Schizosaccharomyces pombe: one gene and its partner. The protein of the gene in region 1 binds, or shares a complex with, the protein of each later gene. Each region holds a gene or a part of one and is shown on either strand. Other genes may lie near its edges. The genes, in order: ssl1 and rad15.

What was found.
Region 2: ssl1 (region 1) and rad15 share a complex: the UniProt entries of both Schizosaccharomyces pombe proteins name them as parts of the 7-subunit TFIIH core complex.

What each region holds. Positions count from the first base shown.
Region 1 is NC_003421.2:382,454-386,671, reverse strand, and holds ssl1 (transcription factor TFIIH complex subunit Ssl1), read right to left. Parts: upstream 2,482-4,218; 5' UTR 2,200-2,481; coding exon 1,982-2,199; exon of another isoform or gene 1,852-1,981; coding exon 804-1,851; 3' UTR 625-803; downstream 1-624. Other genes in the region: meiotic pumilio family RNA-binding protein Mpf2, read left to right, coding at 1-548; SPOM_SPCC1682.06 (uncharacterized protein), read right to left, coding at 3,534-3,859, 3,905-4,218. UniProt on the Schizosaccharomyces pombe protein: Component of the general transcription and DNA repair factor IIH (TFIIH) core complex, which is involved in general and transcription-coupled nucleotide excision repair (NER) of damaged DNA and, when complexed to TFIIK, in RNA transcription by RNA polymerase II.
Region 2 is NC_003424.3:662,541-668,170, forward strand, and holds rad15 (transcription factor TFIIH complex subunit Rad15 ), read left to right. Parts: upstream 1-1,807; 5' UTR 1,808-2,241; coding exon 2,242-4,560; 3' UTR 4,561-5,107; downstream 5,108-5,630. Other genes in the region: MAP kinase kinase Byr1, read left to right, coding at 5,613-5,630. UniProt on the Schizosaccharomyces pombe protein: ATP-dependent 5'-3' DNA helicase, component of the general transcription and DNA repair factor IIH (TFIIH) core complex, which is involved in general and transcription-coupled nucleotide excision repair (NER) of damaged DNA and, when complexed to TFIIK, in RNA transcription by RNA polymerase II.

The DNA of each region.
Region 1 (4,218 bases):
ATGGAAGTCTCGTAGTCCAAAATATGTTTGAGAACTGTGTAGAGAAAGATAAGCGTGAATGCATTGAGGAAATCATTTTTCATTTAGACGGTATTGCACGTGGTCAATGGGGAAACTGGGTGGTGCAACACATGGTAGAAAACGGACAAGGAGAGGATTTGAAAAGAGTCATTGATGCATTATTGAATCGTGCAGTGGAATTTAGTATTGACCAATTTGCCTCTAAGGTCATTGAAAAAGCAATTAAGTCTGGCCCAAAAAATTTCATTTCCTTATATCTAAAACAAATTACAAACGCGAGAGTTGACCGAACAAGGCAGCCTTTAATCGATATTGCATCTGATCAGTATGGCAACTATTTAATTCAGCAAATAATTCAACTTGGTCAACCAGCTGAGAAAAACCTTGTCATTACGCATATAAAAAAGCACATGGTTTCTCTTCGGGGAAGCAAGTACGGTCAGAAGGTTGCTTATTTAGTCGAGAAATGGAATTCTCAAAAACAGGTTTCCTCTGTAATCAACTACAACTGCAATACTGACCTCTGATCTGTAAATATAGGGATATATTCATTTCCACATTTTAATTAGTTTTTATTTTATATATGATACAGCTCTAACACTTACTGAAGCATCAATAGATCAAATTTTCACTATCTTCCGGATAAGGTAGTTAAGCAACGATCTCTTTAAATAAGTAAATTGAAATATATATCTCTTTACATATTTGTGAATAAGTAGCATAATAGTATTTTAAAATAATTATTATAAATAAATGCGTTCATTAATATACCAAAAGAAACTTTAATTTCCGGAGCATTGGCATCCATAACACTCATGAAGTTGTTCATGCGCAAAAACATCGCAATCCAAACAAAAATGATTTTTACACGAGGGACATGCATACCGCATCGATGAAGTAGATTCGTCAAACGGTGAAACCGGCGGCTTCGGAAAAGGTAACTGACACGCAAAGCAATGAGTGGACTTTGGATTTGCGGACCAAGGAATTTCGCTCCAGTTTTTCAATGGAAACAAATGATGATAAGATCGAGCAAGATGTGTTGAAAGGATTAGAACGAGAGAACAACTAGGGCATTCGATCGGTAAAGTACAAACTTTTGCTTTACAACGAGGACAATGAAACCCACCACGAGACGGAATTGAATGGCAAGCACAAAGACTTGGCAATTGCTCAACGACCTTAGAAGGAAATCCCATCATTACCAAAGAAGCATCAGTGGTTTTAGCCGAATCAGTAGCAGGAGGTATTGTGCTTTCGAGTAGAAGTTCGCGAAAATGTTGTTCACTGATGACTACGCCGTAGGCATTTTTCGTAGATGAGTTAGTTTTATTACAAATTTCTTTACAAATGGCGACTTCAGCAGCCAAACCAACGATACGGACACGAATAGAATCATGAACCAGAGCATCAATCGTCTTGAAAATGTCGCCAGGGTCTGATGATAAGATGGAACCAAAAATGATAAGGACTTCTCTAGTGCCATGGGAAGCAATGTGTGATAAAGAAGCTCTAGCCATTTCGAGAGCATTTTGAAGAGAGAAGTTTCCACTACAATCTCGAAGAGATTTAAGCTTCTGAATATGCGATTGAGGATTCCCATGCAAATCAGTTATCCGATGAGCGATTCCATCCATTACGCCTATAATCGATAATTGGGAAATAGGATTTTGTTCAAAAAACTCAAGAACAAATTCAGAAGCATACTTTATCTGAAGGTCGAACCGCTTATGATGAAAATCACGCTCCTCCATAGAGTTGCTCAAATCTAACACCAAGACCATGTGTCTAATAATACCTCGTTGTAACGGAGTTGTATCTCTAAGAAGTCTAAATCAGATTGACAAGTTAGTATACCGTTCATCGATGCTATAAAAGACTAATATGTTTCCAAATGCCCAACATAGGCAACTAACAAACAAATGAAGAACATAAGAAAACCAATTTTGATACGCCATACCTTTTACGTTTCCCGCTTTGAATAAGCCCAGCGATAACGCCTACTAAACTACCCTCTGCGTCCTCCTGTACGATATCCCAAGAACGCTGATATTCACCTTCCCAAGTATAACCCTCATTATCGTCAGTTTTCCTGCTTCTTACTTTAACTCTTCCATTTTTTTGTTCATCCTCGCTTTCCGACTTGTCAGAGTCAAAACTTTTTTGGTTCTCATTCATTGAGTGTTATTTTAACCGAGCATAGGTATTATGCCAGAACGCTATTTGATAATTAGATAAATGAATATTGCACAAATTCTATTCCTTGGTTTCTACAGACTAAAGAACTCAAAGCGAATGTATTTCTTCAAGTCACGTTTTACCCAGTGAACTTTTGGTAATTTGAATAGTCGCGTCGAGTTGCTTTACATGCAATGAGCGAAAGTTCTTTCTTTTATTATTTTTAGTTTTATTTTTTTAAAAAGCAATGACTCCTGGGCATACCAGTAAAATGGTAAGACTAAGTAAGTACTAGAACAAGAGACCATTTACACGAAGACAATACGGACAAGGAGCGCAACCATTATTTGTTAAATATAATAATGAATTTCGTTATGCTGCGTTAATTCGTGTTTATCAGTCTTTGATTTGTGATATGAAATTTGTATACAACTATTTCTGTTATTTGAAAAAACTTAGGAAATTATGAAAGTAAAAGAAGAATATAAAATAAATCTGTACTCCTCATTCTTTAAGGATGAGTTATATATCGTATTTTATAAAATTATTTATGGCTCGGTTATTTGTACAAACTGCATATTGCAATATAGTAGAGACTTAGAAATTTGCAAACTGCGTAATTGCCAATATTTTATGTAAAGCTACAAGTGATATGGACATAAGAAGAATAATTACTTTTCGCTTAGGCTGAATGTTGGATGGTTTGCAGGACGAAAGAGTTCATTTAATTGATTTTCTCGAACAGAAATTGGCTACTGACTAGGAATTGCGAAATCGCATTGTTTAAGAAGTTCTCGTTCTACTCCAAGGTCGATTTTTTCGTTTTTATTTGTCTTAGAAACAAATTTCAACTTATATTTGCTGTATATACTGGTTTTTAAAACTCCAAAACTTGAGAATGATGAATGGAATCCTTATTTCGTATATATCCAACAAAAAAAAAGGTTAAATCACTACTTTGCATCTTTTGAGTAATGTCTTAATTGAACAATTTTTTAAGTCGCAAATCTTACAAAGTCACAATTAAGGATTGTATATCAATTTGGTAAAACAATAAAGAGGATGATTAATCTATAATTGACAACAGATTCATTAGTTAAATGAATTTTCCTAGCACCACAAATACACATCGTGTTTGCTCTATAACAGAGACAAAAATAGTGATGACTGTCATCGAAAATGATTAAGTGATGATGCATATAAGATAATAATACAAGGAATAGAAATAAAGGAGAAAAGTGACTTTTGCAAGAAAGTAAGAAAATTAGTGATGAAATAAAAAAAACCCTCGCAACTGTTGGCAGCCCCTTGATTTTTTTCTCTAGCCATGACTTTTAGTTGCTGCCCGATTCTACATCTTTAGAAGTGTTGCAATCGGTTTCCTCAGCCATTGTATTGTCACTTGCTGGCTCTGTGGTAATTGCTTGGCCTCGCATAGACGACATTTCAACGTCGCCAGTCTCTTCATCTTGTTCTATTACTTCGAGCCCGAGAATAAACAACAGTAAGGATAAAATAATATGAGCCAAACCTTGAATTGCTTTAGCTACATATTTAGCTAGGCCTGCAATCGCTTTAGCTAGACCTTCATTCGCTTTAGCTACAGACGGTGCATAAACATAAGCTTCTTCAAACGCTAATTTAATTAACGAAAATGAAACTAGAAAATCGTTAGTCATGAATTCAAATCATCTCAAAAACTTACAATAAACAATAATCACTGTCATCACGTATGTAAATATTAACACTATAGTTTCAATAACATATTTAACCACAGAATTAAGATCCGCCAATGCCTGATCGAAATAATTATAAAAATTATGATAAAGCAATAAAGTAAGAATGAAAGGAAGGAAGATATGAAATATCGCATATCTAGCTTGTGTAAGTCGCACATTTTCCGAACGCTTTCTTAATCTAGCAGGTGCAGCCATTGTATTTTTTTTTCGTAACGATGGTTGTGTTAATGTTGAGTTTTGTTTGACAATTGGATTGTTTACATGATTATTGACTGAATAT
Region 2 (5,630 bases), on another chromosome or scaffold:
CAAGCAACTTATTTGTAAGCCTAGCTAAATGCTTTATCAATATAAACTCGAGGGAAATATTGGTAGCATAGTATTCCTTTAACTTTTCTTTTTTTTTAAATTAATTTTGATTTCACTTTTTAGTTAACGAAAAGAATTATTTTTTATTTAATAATGGCAAGCGGAGTTGTTTCAATCCAATATATTACATTTACCAGTAAAAAAATTCGATACTTTCCCTCCACCGTGTTAAATTGCTGCATTTTTTTGCATGTTACGGGATGTAAGGAAATAATCTCAAACCAGTCATCCTTACTTTGGTTTCCTACATTTAATGAGCCATGCCATCTATCCTCTATTTCAATACCTTCCTTCCCATTTTTTTCTGCTAAATCGATATGTTGTTTTTTAAATACTCTTTGTTATTAGTACTATATATGCACTATTGATTTTGCTAGCAATGTATTGTATTATTTGTATGTTTTGTAGAAAATAACCTACTCGCCAACCCAAAAATACCAGTTGTTTCCGACAGCGTCATTTATTCATCACACTTTTCCGAAAATCGGCTTTACAAGTCCCGAGTAAAAGTGAATCAAGAAACAGCTACCATGAATTTGATCAACGATTTTGAGTAACCACAGAAAAACTCAGTATGGCCCATTACGGTTGGAATGGGTCGTTGTTATGAATGCCATTTTCTTGTTACCGAGCGGCAAACTCCAACAGTATATTGTTTTGTAGCATCGCTAATGAATGATTCGTTAAGTTTGTTTTCGTGGAATTTCATGCTCTTCTTTTATACCCGAAAGCCGGATACTCGTCGATATACTAGATGTGTAGTGAGTTAATTAATTAGCCAGAAATTAGTGAATGGGAGAGATTTTTAAAATATCAAGATTGATCATTACTAATCATCTTTCATCTTTCACAATACTTGTCATCGATGATTGATAGAGATTGCCAAGAGACATTAGGTAAAATAAAACGTAACAGTTTTGACGATCTGCTGATTTGCTTGATGTCAACCTTGGGTATGTTTTCATTAAACATGATTGCTGATGGGTTTCATAATTCGTGAAAAATTGATAAAGCACTTTTCCTTATCATCTACACATAAGTGAACAGGCAAATCAATCCGTATTGTCTCCTCAACATACGGAATGTCATTAAAACCGGTAAACTGTACTAACCGGTGATTACGGGATAATAAAAAACCACTTCATTCATTTCAAAAACTGTTGATATAGTATTCTGTATGATTTCAAGAAGATAACTCTTCGGTGACTTGCTGTTTATTGCTCACCTGGCGATTCTAATTCCTTTTATTTTTTATCCTGATACGTATGTATTTGTTTTTCCCTCTTTAGAATAATATTCATTAAGCTTGAATAAGCGGTTATTAGTTTGCAAATGATTCAGCAGCTATATGTGAGTTTGCCCTTTTTCACTTGTCTACAGAGTCGGGAATTGACTTGTAAAACAAAATAAATGGAATATTGCAAATGTATTCTTTTTGCCTTGTGTTTATTTAGGAGTAGTATTGCGGAAACTTGTTTTCAGAAAACAAAGTAGCGCTTATGCTCGGTAACTACGAAAATACGAATTTTTTTTCCAATAAACTAGTATTTATTAAGCAATTGCATCTTCCATTAACCATGTCATTTCCATCAATGTATAGTTGTATGTACACCATGTATTTACGAATATTATCCAATTTAACGTACTTTACAGTATTTTGCTTATAAATGTTTACCGTACCAACTCAGCGTTCTTCATAATCCAGTTCTATATGCACTACAAATATAAAGCAGCCACTGTTAATTTCAGGACTCATTCTTTAAGCTTGGATCGACAAGTAGTTTCTCCTGAGATTCTCACTGTAAAGTAGCTCACTTAAACCTTAGGTCAGAATTATTTCTTGGTTCGTTTTGTTTTACCCTCTTCCATCCCATGTTTATTTATTTATCTTTGTGAACTTATTCATATTTGTGTATCAGTGATTGACGACTAAATATTGAACCAAAGCAGAACCTACCTCATTCTTATAATACCCATAAAAATTTATTTCTCGCTTTATTCATTTCATTTTTATGAAGCGATTGTTAAGCGATCTTTACCCACTATTATTCATCAATGCTAGTTCATAATTCTTTTGTTTCAACTTTTTATCTTATTATTTAATTCCTAAATTTTTTTTTGGTCCAATAGGCTGTCATATACTCAAATTAATTTCCTCAAAGTCAACGGATTACACCCATAATGAAGTTCTATATTGACGATCTACCTATTCTGTTTCCTTATCCACGCATCTATCCCGAGCAGTATCAGTATATGTGTGATTTGAAACATTCTTTGGATGCGGGAGGCATTGCGCTCTTAGAAATGCCTTCGGGTACTGGAAAGACCATTTCTCTTTTGTCCCTTATTGTTTCATATCAACAACATTATCCTGAGCATCGCAAGCTCATCTATTGTTCACGTACCATGTCGGAAATTGATAAAGCATTAGCTGAATTGAAGCGTTTAATGGCGTATCGGACTTCACAGTTAGGATATGAAGAACCATTTTTGGGTCTCGGACTAACCAGTCGCAAAAATTTATGTTTACACCCTTCTGTTCGTCGTGAAAAAAATGGGAATGTGGTAGATGCCCGTTGTCGCTCACTTACGGCGGGTTTTGTGCGGGAGCAAAGATTGGCTGGTATGGATGTTCCTACTTGTGAGTTCCACGACAATTTGGAAGATCTTGAGCCACACAGCCTTATATCTAACGGTGTTTGGACCCTTGATGATATCACAGAATACGGCGAAAAAACTACACGATGCCCCTATTTTACTGTACGTCGTATGCTACCGTTTTGTAATGTTATTATTTATTCGTATCATTATTTACTAGACCCCAAAATTGCTGAACGAGTTTCTCGAGAACTCAGTAAAGATTGCATTGTTGTTTTTGATGAAGCACACAATATTGACAATGTGTGTATTGAGTCTTTAAGTATTGATTTGACAGAATCTTCTTTGAGAAAAGCTTCGAAGAGCATTTTGTCTCTTGAGCAAAAAGTCAACGAAGTAAAACAGTCTGACTCAAAAAAACTTCAGGATGAATACCAAAAGCTTGTTCGGGGCCTTCAAGATGCTAATGCCGCAAATGACGAAGACCAGTTTATGGCGAATCCCGTTTTGCCTGAGGATGTTTTAAAGGAAGCTGTTCCTGGAAATATTCGACGAGCCGAACATTTTATTGCATTTTTGAAGCGTTTTGTAGAATATTTAAAAACAAGGATGAAAGTTTTGCACGTTATTGCTGAAACACCAACTTCTTTTTTGCAACATGTTAAAGACATTACATTTATAGACAAAAAGCCGCTTCGGTTTTGCGCTGAGCGACTCACTAGTCTTGTTCGTGCCTTACAAATTTCACTAGTTGAAGATTTTCATTCTTTGCAGCAAGTAGTAGCTTTTGCGACCCTTGTTGCTACTTATGAGCGTGGATTTATCCTAATTTTGGAACCCTTTGAAACAGAAAATGCTACAGTTCCCAATCCAATATTGCGGTTTTCCTGTCTTGACGCCTCAATAGCTATTAAACCAGTTTTCGAAAGATTTAGGTCTGTGATTATCACGAGTGGTACTTTATCCCCCCTCGATATGTACCCCAAGATGTTGCAGTTTAATACTGTTATGCAGGAATCGTATGGAATGTCACTTGCACGAAACTGTTTCCTTCCTATGGTAGTTACTCGGGGTAGCGATCAAGTAGCTATTTCTTCAAAATTTGAAGCCCGTAATGATCCTAGTGTTGTTCGCAATTACGGTAATATACTGGTTGAGTTTTCGAAAATTACACCTGATGGCTTAGTCGCATTTTTTCCAAGTTATCTCTACCTTGAAAGTATTGTTTCTAGTTGGCAAAGTATGGGTATTCTAGATGAAGTCTGGAAGTATAAGTTGATTTTGGTGGAAACACCAGATCCTCATGAAACAACTCTCGCCTTAGAGACTTACCGGGCTGCTTGCAGCAATGGCCGTGGAGCAGTATTGCTGTCAGTCGCTAGAGGAAAAGTCTCAGAAGGAGTGGATTTTGATCATCATTATGGTAGAGCAGTAATCATGTTTGGTATTCCGTATCAGTATACTGAGAGTCGTGTTTTAAAAGCACGGTTAGAATTTCTGAGGGATACGTATCAAATTCGGGAAGCAGATTTCTTAACATTTGATGCCATGCGGCATGCTGCCCAATGTTTAGGTCGCGTTTTGCGTGGAAAAGATGATCATGGAATTATGGTGTTAGCAGATAAACGATATGGTCGGTCTGATAAGCGTACAAAATTACCTAAATGGATTCAACAGTATATAACCGAAGGCGCTACAAATTTAAGCACTGATATGTCCCTCGCTTTGGCGAAAAAATTTTTACGAACTATGGCACAGCCTTTCACTGCGTCTGATCAGGAAGGGATTTCTTGGTGGAGTCTTGATGATTTGTTGATTCATCAGAAGAAAGCATTGAAGTCTGCGGCTATAGAACAATCCAAACATGAGGATGAGATGGATATTGATGTGGTTGAAACTTAATAGAAGCCATTTGTAAAATACTTTGATTCTAATCATCTTTACTAAGGCAATCCAAAACTCATGAACACAGCGATGAAGATATTTGGAAGCGAATGGCTAACTTTTTTGTAGGTGTGGACAATGTATGTATCAACTTGTATTCGAGAGTTGTATAGTGGACATTTCAATCGTCATCACGATACGCATGCTACTTACGAATTGTTTTAAGATCGCAGAGCAGAGAAAAAATATTATTTACACTCAGTTGGCAATTAATTTGCGAGTCGCTAAATTCGAAGTACTTTAAAATTTTTTTAGAGACTGTGTTCAAATAAAATCGGTTTCAGTTGTTGTAATGCTTCTTAAATTTTCCATCCCATCAATAACAATCCAGCGTTTCAAAGAGTGATTATTGGCAATTTCATGCTGCTATGGAAATTAAGCTTACATTAAGCGAGCTAGTTAAAATACGTGATGCAGTAATTGTAAGCCTAGTTATATAAACAAAACATCTGTTTATCATTTAGATACATAAAACAAAAGTTTACATATTCATAATATATTCTCATAATCTAAAAAATTTCCTTGATAGTTTTATGTCGATAAAATTAGTCTCCCATACTTAGTTCTAAATAAATGAACGTTTTGGGGTTGTACAACTGATTCATTGCTGTATTCTATGTAATATATAAATTTCTTGAAAATAAAAAATCTTTTGGTTTTACGGATTCACGGTTGGCTTATACGTAATTGCCAAGCACATATAAGATCAATGATGGTTTCTTTACCAAACTACTGTATAAAAAAATTACTCTAGCACAAAAAGGATACCGCTTTCAGGAATTCTTAAATATAGAAAAAAAAATAAGTGTAGCTTATTGCAAGGGTTGTCTCTAGTCACGTTGGGGTAGTCAGAATCCTGTCATAACTACTGCTTTGTATCTTTGATTAGCAAAGTAACTTATTGAATACAGTCAGCTGTCAAATTACAGAAAAAGAAGCAACTTTAATAGTATCTTAAATGATATAATCTTCGATACAGGTTTCTTTGAGAATTTGGCCAATAGCTAGAAATGTTTAAACGACGTCGA